Linked DNA regions of Oreochromis niloticus. The protein of the gene in region 1 purifies or fractionates together with the protein of each later gene. This does not show direct contact. Links are inferred from orthologs where the notes say so. Each region holds a gene or a part of one and is shown in the gene's direction. Other genes may lie near its edges.

Evidence for each region. The genes of interacting proteins can lie anywhere in the genome.
Region 2: the proteins of ptp4a2b (region 1) and cnnm2b purify together in Homo sapiens (affinity purification with mass spectrometry; 4 studies listed by BioGRID and IntAct, counting the BioPlex papers as one, with this or other methods). This does not show direct contact. The link is inferred for Oreochromis niloticus from reciprocal best matches to the Homo sapiens genes PTP4A2 and CNNM2.

Annotation. Positions count from the first base shown.
Region 1 is NC_031985.2:25,785,891-25,793,861, forward strand, and holds the start of ptp4a2b (protein tyrosine phosphatase type IVA 2), read left to right. Parts: upstream 1-4,931; 5' UTR 4,932-5,089; intron 5,090-5,232; exon of another isoform or gene 5,233-5,363; intron 5,364-6,309; exon of another isoform or gene 6,310-6,458; intron 6,459-6,509; exon of another isoform or gene 6,510-6,528; intron 6,529-7,591; exon of another isoform or gene 7,592-7,669; intron 7,670-7,971. Other genes in the region: col8a2 (collagen alpha-2(VIII) chain), read left to right, coding at 1-640.
Region 2 is NC_031971.2:33,163,143-33,170,495, forward strand, and holds the start of cnnm2b (metal transporter CNNM2), read left to right. Parts: upstream 1-4,261; 5' UTR 4,262-4,605; coding exon 4,606-6,091; intron 6,092-7,353. Other genes in the region: as3mt (arsenite methyltransferase), read left to right, coding at 87-156, 269-350, 428-559, 1,229-1,368, 1,455-1,577, 2,426-2,533.

The DNA of each region.
Region 1 (7,971 bases):
AGGGCCTCCAGGGCTGGGCAAGTTGGGTGAGAAAGGTCCTATAGGTCCCCAGGGTCCTCCAGGGAAACAAGGCCCCCCTGGACTTAATGGCATACCTGGGCCCCCTGGGCCTCCAGGACCCCCTGGGCCTCCAGGAAATGGCCATACAGTTGTCGCAGGGCCAGAGAGTTCAAAGTTAGATGGGGGAGAAATTCCAGATGACAGGAAAGGCCCTGCATATAGTCAAGTTCCATTGTCTGCCTCTGTGGCACCAGCCTTCACAGCTGTCCTTACCACACCATTCCCTCCTTCAGGCATGCCAATCAAATTTGACAGGACCCTCTACAATGGGCAAAATGCCTACAGCTCTTCTACTGGCATATTCACTGCTCCTTTATCTGGTATATACTACTTTGCATACCACATGCATGTAAAGGGAACTAGCCTGTGGGTAGCATTGTATAAGAACAATGTACCAGCCACTTACACATATGATGAATACAAGAAAGGCTACATGGACCAGGCATCTGGTAGTGCAGTCTTAGAGCTGAAGGAGGGTGACCAGGTATGGGTCCAGATGCCGTCAGATCAGGCAAATGGCCTATATTCTACAGAGTACATCCATTCTTCCTTCTCAGGATTCTTGCTCTGTCCCACATAACCCTATCTTTTCCTTAAAAGATGTTGCTACATTGGCACCTCAGTGCAGCCCTTAACCTAAAATACCTGCAGCCATTATAGAAACACAAAACCCATAAAATACTCAATATTATTGCCATAGTCTTTATCTGTCTCGCCCTCAACAGCACAAATGAAACAAAAACTTTGTGAATGAAGTGAGTTTTTAAAGGCAGGGGAAGGAAATTCATACTGTGTTCTTTATTTCAGTGTCCTTCAAATGTGTGTTTTAGTTGTGTTTTATGTTGGTGTTTTTTTAAGCTTTTAGCTTATTTTAATTATTATATTGTCATAATTTTATTGTTATTATTTGGTCCATGTCATCATTGTTGTTGTTGTTTATTGGATTCAGACTATTTAGTGCCTTACTTTGTAATGTGCTAGAAACCTTCCCGTGTGACTGCACAACCTGCCCACATGCTCTGACACAAGGACGACATCACCAAACTCTGATGGGGGGGGGCGGGGGTCTTCGCTGCAGTCATGTTCCCCTGGTGTATTATTTAAATCATGAATTGCTATAATTATACTGAAGAGCCAAAATACAACACAATAAATATAGGCATACAGTACAATAGCAAAACTAAGTATTTGGTCTGCTGTGTTACTATTTACTTTTACTGAAATTTTTGGGACTCTAAATTGTTGCTACATAAAAAAAAAGTTAGGATTGAACTCAGCAACAGTTGGTTTTAGAGTGAGATATATTTATTGATAGTGAACATAAGCACCTGTTCAGGGAGTTTCTCTGCTTCATTATGCATTTAGTAACCTACCATTTCAGATAATAGGTCTTCCTCTTTCTTGTAATTTAGTTTACGTGCAGTTCAGAACAATTAATTCTACAAATAAACATGACCTCACATTAACAAGGCAGACACCTTTAAATTGCCCTTTAAAGAGATCAGCATCATCAAGCAAGACCCCCGCATCACCCCCCAGCATCATTCTTTAGGACATTGTTAATAATGTACACAGTCAGTGTTCACAGGCCAGAAACTAGATAGTGTCCTTACTGTCCATGGACAAATGGACAGTAAGGACACATATACTGCTGATTCAATGGCCTATTTCCTTCTATCGATCTGATTTTTTTTCCCATCACTATCCCAGGCATCCTGTTCACATATTCTAACCATCACGTCACTGATTTCTAATGTCATTAAAAACCCTTTCCCTGATTCCAAGGGAGCAATCTGCACTGCCATATTAGAAGAAAATATAATCCTTTAACAACATGATGCAAAATCCACAAAGATTTTGAAAGCCTGACTCTGCTGAGAAAACAAGGAGGCAAAAGGATAAGTAAAAAACAACAACAACTTAATTACTTCCTTCACTGCCAGTTCCTGTGTTGTTTATGATAGATGTTAGGCAAATGAGAGCAATTTTTAATCATTTGTAGCTCTGAATGACAGGATTTTCTAGTTATTTCTAAATCAAATGTGTCAAAAACTGTTTAATTGCTGAGCTTAGTGTAACATCTGTGGCCAGGATGTTTCAGAACTGGATAATGTCAAAGTGCACGGCTGGAAATGAGAATCAATTTGTCTTTAGTCCATAAATAGGTGAAAGGGTCTGACTGGGGCCTGAAGATTGAGAAATGCAGGTTGTGTAACATTTTAACAAAACCACGCCAGATTTCTGGGAGAGGTGGTAGGTCAGAGGTGTGTTTATTCATTTCTGTTGGATGAAGTATTAAAGATCCACTCTGTGCATGCGTGCACTTGTATGCTTAGTAGGTATACCCTTCAGCCCGTCACTGTGTCACTGCGTGCGTTTGTGTGTGCGGATTTGTCACAATGTCCCCTTGGCATTCAGGTCACGAAAACTTTAGCAAGGATAATAATAAACTAAAATTAAGTTACAAAACTGTAGGAACGGCTTACAGTCCCATCAATGTTCTACCAGAAGGTTTTGAGGTTTTTTTTAGTTTTAAAGAGAATCTTGTAGAAGATTTACTTTACAACACTCTAAAGATGAAAGGTGTAAAGGCGTGCAATAACTACTTTGTGCCAAGTCACGAACCAACAAAAAAAAAGAAAAAAGAAAGAAAAAAAAGACATACTATGAAATGTACAAAATGTTTATTCACTAGTTTCAGTTACGAATCACAAAAGATAACGAGACCTAGGCAAAACAGAACAAAGCTTGGTGCTTCTAACTTGTGCCACCCTGACGCTCGTAAACACTGAATTATGACTACCTTACATCATGATGGAAGAATGTCAATGTACACGAGCATGGTGCCAAACATTTAGCCTTCCCATTAGAATGAATGTATAATGTTTGACTGTTTTATGGTGGGTCACAGTGCATAAACAGTAACTCTTCACATCGCTTTGGAAAATTAGTGTGAGGATAAGGCTTAATCAGTATTTCTACATCTATGTAATGCACTTACTCTTAGCCCTTTCTGTCTCATAACATGAACACACCGACAACTGCTATGTATCATTGTTGCTATGTGAGTCTACAAAGCAGTCTCGTTATGTACTGTATGTTGCCTTTTATTTTTTTGAATCACCTCCTCTTTTTCGACACACGGTGAAACGGTGATGAGAGTTACATGCGGCTGTTACGCTCTGTCCTCATATTTTCATAGACAATGTCACTTGCTTGCTGAGTTTGCTCTGTGTGCAAATCATTTAACAAGTGTCAGTGAGATCCATGTACCGCATCAAATGTTTTGTTTTTCTTTATTAGAAAAAAAAGAAAAAAAAGAAAAAAAAATCACAAGCCTTGCTTCGGTTCTTAAGGGATATTTGTTTGTTTTAGTTTCAGTATACAAACGGCCATTCCCATTTGCACATGAAATTAATGAAGATGTATTTATACATTTATGATAATTTAATAGGGATGCCAAAACTGACCACCGAAGCCTGGGACATATAAATGGTATTTAACAGCATCGATGAGTTAAGAGCATTTACAACTTGTAGTTAGCATTCTAGAGTTGTTTGTGAAGGATTATTTGTATTATTTTCTATTTGTGTAATGTACAATGTATCAACGTATAGGTTTTTTTTTTTTTGTCTTACAAGGCTATTGTGTGCACTATGCAATAGAATTTGGGTATAAAATGCACTCCTTTTTGATTGAAAATGTTTGTCTGCTTATACAAAATCTACAGTACTTGATTGTATTGATACCACGTCAATAAAAACAAAGAAAAAAAATGCCTTGTATGCTGGCGTGAAACTTCATTGACTTTCTATTGTATGGTTATGTAACAAAGAAAATATATATTAACTGGAATACAGAGGCTACTGCTACATCTTTAAAAAAAATCAGTAACACTAGGTAAAAATTCAGTAGCTCGTGTGCAGAGCAATCTGTTGCATGTAAAAGAACTGACACTAGAGGGAGATATACAATTATAAACAGCGTTTCAGGCCTCAGACAGAAGGGTGATTGGATAGTAAGTTTAGGATTGAAAAGAGGAACAGGTAGGCTTTTCCTTTTCAGGTCAGCTCGCTGGATGTAGATGGAAGCAACATAAATCTTTGCATAAATATTTTGCATGTTGAATATATGGGTTATCACATAAGCAGAAGAGCATAAATGGATGGATAGATAACTACATTAAGTGCGGATAAACAAACATATGAATGAGCTGGATTTTAATGAAAACAACTAAACTAACTCTGATGCGTGACTGGAGGCGATTCAACAGTCTATACTTTCGAAACAAAACGGATCTTGTAGCCAATCCAAAATGTGCTTAGATAAGAAAGTAAAATCTATTTTTAAAAAACAGCCCATGAGTACAGGGATAATATGGTGCTATTACTTTCTGGAACTGTCGTCACCATGGTGAGCTGTCATCAGTCAACCGGATTCTTCTTACGTCGTACTGACGTCAGACCATCCATGCTGCATTCGAGAGATCCCGGTAATTCTGGCGCAGTGACCGCAGATACGACCTGATGCACATACTTGTGCTGTTATTGAGAGAGGTAATAGAATATATGAAAAGTTACCTACACTAAAGCAAAGTGAGGAACGATCTTAAAGCTAATCCCTTCAGATGTTGACATGCATGTCACTTGAAATTTATTCCAGTTTCCGCTTCCTGATAGTTAAATTGGTGTCAAGGAAACACTCAAACAAACAAGAAAAAAAAAATGCTAGGATGATCTGGGATACACGTGTCTGTCGTTTAAAGTTTTCCGAGGTTTACAGATTTCTCTGGTGGCCCTCATTTTGTTGACTATTAACTCGCACTGCCTGGTCTACATATTTCCGACGGTCCCTGAAGGTCTTGTACAAACTGAGGAGGAGGCTCCTCCCCGACAACAGTTCCCGACCTCCGACGAGATCTCAGGCTGCCACACTAAAGAGGAACAAAAAGGCGATCTGACAGCGCTTTCTGCACTCCCTCCACTTTCTCCGGGGTAGTCACGGGATTTCAATGTTCAGCTTGGTCTTTGTAAGTACTCAATGACGGATCTAAGCAAACCTCTGGGAACTTCTTTCTGCCTCGATTGTATGTAATTCTAGCGCTATAGATCCGTTAGAGCCCACTTAAAAGTTGAGTTCCATATGTTAGGTGATCGCCACACTGCCGGGCAGCCAAAGTAAGTTGCATGAGGGGTCGTCCGAGAAGAGTGTCCAGTATGTAGCCACGTTAATGGTAGCTCGCAGAGCAAAGCTTAAGACGGTTTAATCGTGTGCTACAATCAGTGTTGAAAATCCCGTTAAAGGTATGAATGTTCATTCTCACTGCCTCAGATATCTGTGATATCTACACTTGAGTTAATTACCTTTGTCTTGAGTGTTGCCGTGCTGCTGGTCTAAAAGATTGCTGCTAAAAGCAAAGTGCGTTAGCTATCCCGCTAGCTAACGTAGCTGCGCTAGCTTGCTATCGCGGCTATGGCTATTAACCAAAAGAAGAAAATCTCTGACTAGCATTAGGACTACTGACACGACTGTGTCGTGGCTTGTATTTTTCTTTTAGAACAGGATACGTTTAGTTGTATTCATAACGTGGTGTTTTCTAAACTGACCGTCGTTCGGAATACCACAAGTGCTAGCGCTACCTTAGCGCTATACGGTGCAAGGGTGTACAGGTTACCGTAGAATTTCTTCTGAACAACGTGTATCATATTGGCAATGAATACTTGTGTTAACGTTAACAATTGTCCTGGCTAGTAGTGCTAATGTTACGTGTATAAGATGCGTTAAGTTATTTGTAGTTGTGAAAAGCTGCGTGGTAACTAGATGGCGACTAAGCTAGCCAACTGCCTTCCGCCCTTTGTGACAAAATCTTGACCTGCAGTATAGTTGACCCATATGCTAAAGGCCAATTGCCAGGCTGACGGGTTGTTGTTGTTTTGTTTTTTTTAAACCGACAAACGATATGGCATGTCTGCTTATGTTTGTCGGCGCGGTTCCCTTTTGGACTGGACTGTCGTGCTCCTTGTCTTTATTGCTGGCTGTCTGGTTGGAGTCGGAAAATTTGCTCGGCTTCAACGAAAAAAGGAGAGAAAAAAATGGCCAACACTGGAGTTAGGTGGGTCTATAATTTAGCCTCGTCTGGTTTCCTAAAACAGAAAGCGCCCAGCCATTTAGCCATGTGGGTTGAAGTGAAATGAGGAAATGCACTTCGGGAGGAAGTTGCCTAGAGCAGCTGTGACACTAAAGGCCGCGGCACATTCCCATGCCTCTCAGTTTTCAATTTATGACCTTCCACTGATTTGAGGCTCCCCTCTGGTAGTAAATTCTAGTGGGCGGCTAATACACGCGAATAGCCATCCTACCAACAGGGCGGATGAGTCAATCAGTAACTGGTGTAACAGGTAAGCTAATTATATATTCCCGCTTATGAGTCACTGCAAGGTGACCTGGTTTGCCTGTTGAGAGGATGAGGTGAGTGATTGCGTTCAGGAAAACAAGCTAAGGGAATGTTGGCACACTACAACAGAAATAATAGAAAGTTGCAGTGAGTAATGTAATCGTACTATCAAATTGAGGTAATCAATAAGGTCTATACTCTTGCTTCATAAAAGGCTAGACTTTCACAACTTCAGTATTGTAGTGCTTTGGAGTTTTTAGACTCCACTGGCATTTTATTCTTTGTGGAAGTAGGTCATTTGAACAGATGACCCGCTTTATTTTGTAGCTAATTGACACATGATGCTCTGGCCAATCTAGAAATAGCAACTCTCACTCAATCTGCTTATATAGCACATCCCTCAGCTAAAGTCAGCCCTGTACTGCTGGGGTGGACACTCATTTTTGTGATCTGACTCTGCAAGGCAAACCTCTATTACCTGTAACTTTTAAGCCAAACTTGAATTATCCTTATTTGAGTTTTGCTATTTTCTCAGCCAAATCAAACTTGTTGTGTAAAGACTGAATACGCTGGTTGGTTGCAAATTTATGCCTACTAGGAGCATAGAAAAAGAAACTGCCCTGTGACAAGATGGGAAGTTCTCAGCCTTGGTTACCGTAACTGTGAAAGGTGAACCCAGTGTGCAGTAACTTGATATCAGCCTACAAAGGAGTGTTACTGGGGGAGAAGAACACCTATGTTGTAGCCTGCTGGCTTTCAGCCCATCAAGCCACGGGGGGGACTGAGTGTTGAAAGGTAGAGCAGAGGAGGCCATTCCATACTGACTGCTTTAACAGATTTTAAAATTTAGCTACTCTCCAGAGGTTTTTGGTTTTACAATGGGCTCGCTCCTGGCTTCAGTAGAAGTTGTTTTGAAATTGGTATAAAGTGGCAAGCTAAGATTAGTTGGCCACTGTTTGTGCTACCTCTTTTCAAAGCTATTAAGTGAAGCCCATATGTAGTTACGCATTAGTGGGCACCTTTTTGTGAGAGGCTCGTTTATTGCAAAGTGTGTGGATTAATGAATCATGCAGTGATCGGCACAGTGTTTACTGTTGTTGCCACAGTGTTGGGATAAAGCAAAGGCGCAGGCTCAGTGGCACTGGCAGCGTTTCACAGATTGACACCTCTCCTAGATTGCTGTTGCAGGGGTTCCCGCTGAAACTATAGCAACAGGTAGGAATAGGATCTTCCTTGTTTTTTGTGTTTACACCTGCCTTGTTTAGCTACAGCTGTCAGAGCTGCAGTTAACAGGGGAACACAGAGTTCTCTGCCAGAACATGCAATAGTAATATGTGTTATTGTTGTTTGAGCAGCTGCGTGTAGGTGCTTGCTTTCTCAGATTTTAGAAACAGTGCTATTTTTGAAGCATTGGTGGTCTAGACAACAAACCTTCTGTGTTTGCCCATTGCCTAGGTGTTTTTGTGTGTGTGTGTTTTTACTTGCACCCCCCACCCTGTGAGTGCTTCTCGCAACAT
Region 2 (7,353 bases), on another chromosome or scaffold:
GTGTCTTACTAATCCTTATTTGTGTGCAGTTCTAACTTAATATAATCATAGAATAACAGTTTCGAACATCATCTCCTTTTGCTTAGCTCCAACTGTGTAGTGAATCTTTCTCCAGACAAGAGGATGGTACTGACTGAAGCTTACAAAGTACTTAAGGTACACTGCTTCTCATTTTTTTAATATTGTTATTAAATCTTCAATCATAAAGCTATGAGAGCAAAGAAAATATTTACACATTTACATACACTTTCTCATTTTTCCTCATTAGGATGGTGGTGAGCTGTACTTCAGTGACATTTACAGCAATGGAAGACTAACAGAGGAAATTAAAAATCACAAAGTGTTATGGGGTGCGTCTAATTAATATTCTACTGCCATAAATTGACAAGCACCCACCAGAATATCACAGTCGGTTTTATCTTTGCAGGTGAGTGCCTTGCTGGAGCACTCTGGTGGAAGGATCTCCTGCAATTGGCTGAAAAAGTGGGCTTCAGCCCCCCACGGCTGGTTACGGCCAGTGTCATCACTGTTGACAACAAGGAACTGCAGGACATTCTTGGTTTGACAGCTTTTTTACTTGCTTGACTTTTGCATTATTTGCTTGATACAGAATTACACTCAACAGCCACTTTGTTAGGTACATCTGTTCAGCTGCTTTTTAATGCAAATATCTAGTCAGCAAATCACATGAACACAGCTCGGTGCACATAGGCATGTCGACATGGTCATGATGACCTGCTGAAGTTCAAACCAAGTATCAGAATGGGGGGAAAAAGGTCATTTAGGTAACTTTGAATGTGGCGTGGTTGTTAGTGCCAGATAAGCTGGTATGATTATTTCAGAAATTGCTGATCTACTGGGATTTTCCCAAACAGCCATCTTTGGAGTTTACAGAGCTCCGGAAATGAGTAAATATCCAGTGACATTCATGTCAGTTGTACACACAGGCACAATCGACATGAATGATGCTATCAGAGAATCCTTTTGCACAACTACTTAAAGAAGAACATTTTATAGATTAACCCTACAAATAAACAGTACTAAGTTAGCCTGCACTATAATGTCACTGCTGGTTTTCTCCTAACCTATATTTATGTAGCTATAGTTACAACTAATGTAACATTACATGATTCCAAGTTATTTTAGATTTTGAGAGCTGCTAACCTTCGTGTATGACCTGAAATTTATTTATTTATTTTTTAATTTCAATCTGGTGTGTTTAATACAGGCAACTTCAAGTTTGTTTCTGCCACATACCGCTTGTTTAAGGTCCCCAAAGGGAACACCAAGAACTGCAAAGTCATATATAATGGGGGCATGACAGGGGCAGAGGATAGTTTCCAGTTTGACTGTCAGTACACCTTCAAGGTCTGTATATTCTGAATTAGAAGAACGTAATGCTTTCTGCTCACTTAAACTATGCAAATGATTTCAGATTTGGATGTATTTTGTAGGCCAATGAAGTTGTGGAGGTGGATGGAGAGGTGGCCAACATACTGACACATTCCAGATTTGCAGAGGACTTCACTTTTCAGCCACTGGGGGGCCCCACTGGGCCCTGTGGAGTCAAACCTAAGGTCAGTGTTGTGTTTAAATTCTTGGATGTCTCTTTTACACATTAGGGGTCAGTGTGTTTCTGGTATCAATTTGTGTGACACGCCCAGAGGGCAGAGCGCCTCTGTCAAACTGCGCTCACAAACACACATGCATGTGCTTCTGCATGCTGTACATTCTTGGACGTTCACGTACCCCTCAAACATACATACACACATGCACAAGCGCAAGGTCAAGCAGCTGTCTTGGACTCATAACCAGACTGTGGAGTCATGCTGGGGAACCTTGAACAAGAAGGAATGTTCTACACTCAGCTAATAGAATACCATTTTATCAGGGCTTACAATCATTTTATGCACATACACCTCTAACAGCACCGCTTTACATTTTTTTTAAAATGAGTACTCTAACTTGTTAACCACTCATTAAAGATTTTTTCTCTTCTGATATTGGAAATAGAAGTAAATTAAAATGGTAAAGGCTTATCAAAATCCACCTCATTATTAACATTTTGAACTGCCCCCTGAATTGAAGTCTTGTCTGAAAGAGTTTTCTCTAATCACTACAGCAGTGTGCTGATAATAGTAATAAAAAAGCCTTTGGTCTTATTCATGGAAAGAACAGCTGCTTTGAAATTGTGACTTAATGAACAACCAGCAACTGATAAAAGAAGCACAGGGCCATAAAAAGACTTCATCTAGAAGAGCCAGTGTTCTGTTGTAATATACCATAATAGTACCTGGATTTACTTCTTCAATTTTTTGACCTTGCTTACAGTGATTTGGGATGAAACACAAATATTACATGATACATACATGTAACTGGGTGCTTGTTCTTTTAATGCTTCTGCTTGGCTCAATTATTCATACAGGCTGGCATTGAGGACCCTTTTGAGCTGGCCCTGATGTTGGGTGTGCAAGGCCCTGCATCAGCCACTGGGGGATGCTGCAGCACACAGTCTGCTGGCTGCTGCAAGTGATGGTGGGAAGAGCACAAAGAAACAGGCTCAGCTTCCTGCCTACCAATAATGCCTACATGTTTGGTGAACTTCCATTAATTAATTCATTTTAATTAAACATAATCATGTTACTGGTTGATACTGGTTGCTCAAACAACTTCACCTACCCAGTGTATAATGGAGACAACTCAGCTAATCCAGTTTTAGTTTCACTTTGGAACACCCTGCATTGCAATTACACAAAGCCATCATTTGCTTCACATACTGCATGACTATGTGAAGGACATGAGTTCTGCTGATGACTTTAAAATGTTTTATTGTGTAATCAAAGTGTTTGTATTTGAAGTTGCTTAAAGTGCATATGAGCCAATTTAAGGAGCCAGCATATGATTCAGGGCCATAGGAAAAAAAATCTCACATCAAACAATTTTAGTTTGACTTTGTGTCTTATCAGATTGTGGTGGTTCATGTTGGTATCTGCTGCTAACCATTAGTGAGGTGATTGTTAAATTGCACCAACTATTTTTTTTTTTAATGTTTTTAAATTAAGGTTAGGGTGGTTTATTTTGCCATAATGTCAAAAAAAGAGTTAAAATTGGAGAGATATGCTCCCTGCTTCCAGTTTTCACTGGTACTATACAATGGTTTTGACTGAGCTGTTGTTGAATCAAGGGTGATTAGAAGCCACATAACATTTTTGAAGTCTGACACTGGCCCACAGGCCACATGTTGAGTACCTAGGCTATAAATTATCTTGCGCAAACAAGATAACAATATCACTTTGAGGGATTTAAGGGTTCTGCAAGTGCTCCCAGTTAATATTTTATGAAAGGATTCAATATGGTAACAATTCATTAACATAATTATATGGTATAGATAAAAGGAAAACTTTATAGTAAGGTTAAATAAAAATGCAACAAATTTAAAACCTTTTAACAACCATGAGCAGTATTAAGAAGAGCACCTTCTTCATTTGTGCCTCATTTTGTCATATGCCTACTTAGTCTAATTATTTTCTTACCCATAAAACTGACATTGTTTATTCACACAATACTTTTTACTTACCTTAAAACCTGTGTTTTAGTAAATCGGTGCTTAATTATTTTGCAGACTGGCTTTAAGATGTGCTTCAACCAAAGTGTACAAATTATCTCCCGTTATTGTGATGGTTATGTGTTATTTCTGATAAAACACAATAAATAATAATTAACGAAATGACTCTTCTATTTTCATCTTTGCTCCTATGATGTAGTGCATTATTTCCAAAGGTACAAATGCACATTTGTATTTGGGAAAAGCTGTGATTAAGGGCACCAGTTCAAGCCATGGTGGTCAGGATCTCTCATTTTAGTTTCATTTTAAGTTTAAAGGAGGAAAAGATAAATAGGCCAATAAGAAGTAATTGTGTTAAAGAAATTGTTTTTTGTATTACACATCTCAATGACGTACATGTATGTGTGTGTTTTCTGGTTTTGACAACTTTAACCTCTTTAAGTTAGGCAGTCTATGAACATATTACTATCCCCTGTAATACCTATCATTAAAATAAGACATGATATAGATAGTGCTTCGGAGTTTCAGCATGCAGGATGATGCAATGCGATAGCAAAAAACCAAATTAACTTGTCACAACCTATGATAGTCTCTATATAGATAAAACATGTTGTAGTATTTATTTTAGTTAACCTTTAATCTTTGCACATGCCTTTTTTTGACATTTAAACTGCTTATTGTGGTTGTCTTTTCTAGCATGATATGTTTTAAGAAGTCACGAGTAAAGTCCTGTCTCCTAACATGAGGTGCACTTGTTTTGGAATTTGATTCGCCAAGGAGGCTGCGGACGCCCCGCCTCCCGGCCAGCGGAACCTCCCGATTGGTCGTCGCCGTCGCCTGTATCGGGGACACCAGGGGAGGCACGAGTTGGCCCGTAAGCCTGCGCTCGCGAGTCATCAGTGTCGGACACGTAGTGGGAACGAGCAGGTCCTGATGCACAAGTCACGGCAACCCTGGGCGGAGATGAAGGCGGACTCCGACTGGCTCTGATTTTTAAAAGCCCTTTTCATTCAGGAGGTTGGTTGCCAGTTGTTATCAATATGGCAGAACCGTTATCCCAAGCACCCACCGCTGCAAAAATGGCGTCACTTAACCGGGTCCGAGCTTTGGCGATGATTTTCTTAACTGTCACTGGCTGCTGTGTCACCCCGACAAGTGGCAAGGAAGGGTCCGAGGAGACCGTCATCATAGGGCTCCGACTGGAGGACACGGACGACATTTCCTTCATGGATAAGGGCTACCTGCGGGTGAGTGAGCGCTCTCGGGTAAAATTAAGAGTGTACGGGCAGAACATCAACAACGAGACCTGGTCCAAAATTGCTTTCACGGAACATGAGCGGAGCCGGGCGGTTGGGAGCATTGACAGCTCCTCGGGGGATAACCAGAGCCAGGAGGACTCGTCCGGCTTGCATCCCTGTGGTTTTAGGACTTCGGATATAATGATATTGCCCTACATCATCCTGAATCGAAAGACATCCGGTATAGTTGAAATTGAGGTCAAACCTCTGCGAAAGACGGAGAGGAGTAAAACGTATTACCTTTGCATCGCCACCTCGACACCAGCCGTGGCCGGGATGCACGACCCGCGGACGGAGAACACCTGGATCTACCACGATGGGGATGACACCAAAGTGATAGTGGTGGAGGAGAAAAAGTTTCTGCTGCCTTTCTGGCTCCAGGTCATCTTCATCTCCATGTTGCTTTGCCTGTCCGGTATGTTCAGCGGGCTGAACCTGGGGCTCATGGCTCTGGACCCCATGGAGCTCCAGATAGTCCAGAACTGCGGCACGGAAAGGGAGAAGAATTACGCCAAAAAAATAGAGCCGGTCAGGAGCCAAGGGAATTATTTGCTGTGCTCTCTTCTGCTCGGGAACGTGTTAGTGAACACCACGCTAACCATCTTGCTGGATGATATCGCCGGTTCGGGCTTGATTGCTGTTGTCATGTCCACCATCGGTATAGTCATTTTTGGGGAAATCGTGCCACAGGCCATCTGCTCCAGGCACGGCCTCGCTGTGGGAGCCAACACCATATTCCTCACCAAGTTCTTCATGCTGCTTACCTTCCCTGCGTCCTACCCAGTCAGTAAGCTGTTGGACTACCTGCTCGGACAGGAGATAGGAACCGTGTACAACAGAGAGAAGCTTCTGGAGATGCTGCGCGTTACGGACCCCTACAACGATCTGGTGAAAGAGGAGCTGAACATCATCCAGGGCGCGCTGGAGCTCAGGACTAAGACTGTAGAGGACGTGATGACGCCGCTGAGGGATTGCTTCATGATTCCTGGGGATGCAACGCTGGACTTCAATACCATGTCCGAGATCATGAAGAGCGGCTACACGCGCATCCCCGTTTTCGAGGGCGAGAGGTCCAATATAGTGGATCTGCTCTTCGTCAAGGACCTGGCCTTCGTGGACCCGGATGATTGCACTCCGCTCAAAACCATCACAAAGTTTTACAGCCACCCGTTGCATTTTGTGTTCAATGACACCAAGCTTGACGCAATGCTGGAGGAGTTTAAAAAAGGTAAGAGTTTTGCATCAACCTTTGACACCTGGAATGTGTTAAAGGTTGATGTCTGTTCTAGGCTGGTCTTTCACATGACCACCCTCTTTGTTGGATAAGGCAAGGTAGATACATGAGTTATGTAATAGTTTATGATGCAAGGAGTCACAGTTTTGACCTTTCAACACTGAGTGCATGTGGTGTATCTATAGGTCAAATGTCTAAAATCAGATATTGAGCAATAAAAAGAAGGAATTCCTCAATAAATTTCTTGTACTGGAGGGAAAAGAGATGGGGGAGGATAGCAGCAAAGGTTCTTTTCCCCTCAGACAACACTGAATCTGCCACAGGTGTAGTTGCCAGATCTTCACAGGTCACTTCCTGTAAAGCGGAGAAGCAGGTGTCCTTATCATTCTCCATCACTTCCATTAAGTGTTAATGTTCACACTCTCTCTCTCCTCCTGCTTTTCCTCCTCATGCCTTGCCCTCCTCCTATTCAACCTTTTTCACACTTTCCCCTTCCTTTCATCTCTCCCTCTCTCTCATTTGTAAATGCATTAGGACATGTGGGAATAGTGCAACGGCAGTGCTGAGGTTATCAGGTGGGGGCATCTTGTTTGAGAACCTGCTTAAATCCCTGTCTGCCTCTCATGCGCTTGCTTCAGAGTGATGGTGGCGATAACTCTTTTTTTTTTGTCCAATCCTGGAATGCAGTCGTGTGGATAATGAATAACAGCCTCTAACACCCTCAAGCCCCCCATGTGCTGTGTGTATTTGTATGCGCATGGTGTTTGAGAAAGATGTTTACCTCACCCACGGTTTATCTGATGTTTTGCATAGCCAACCCCCTAACTGTTGTTGCTTCTGACTAAGTTATTCCTGGAAAGTGTTTGTAGATTTGGTGCTGGACTGGACTGATGCATACACAGACACACCTGTCAGCAGCTGATTTACGAACTCTTAAAACTGTGGGGAAAAAAACATGACTGTTGTGCGCTTATTAGAATATTTGCTTTATTTTAAGAGGATTAATTGGGAGGAAAAACAGAACAAATCAGCAAGCTCCATTACCAGAAATTAGGTGTAGTTCCTCTGCCAAATTAGCATTACATAATATACTATTTGGGGAGGGGGGTGTTTGTTTATTTATTTTCATCACAGCTGACTAGTCACGGACATGCACCAGTTTTCCGAGTAAACAGAGAAAGTTCACCATCCTGTTATATTATCAGAATACTAAGATCAGCAAATATTTGCAATTTCTTTTTATTATTGCATATATC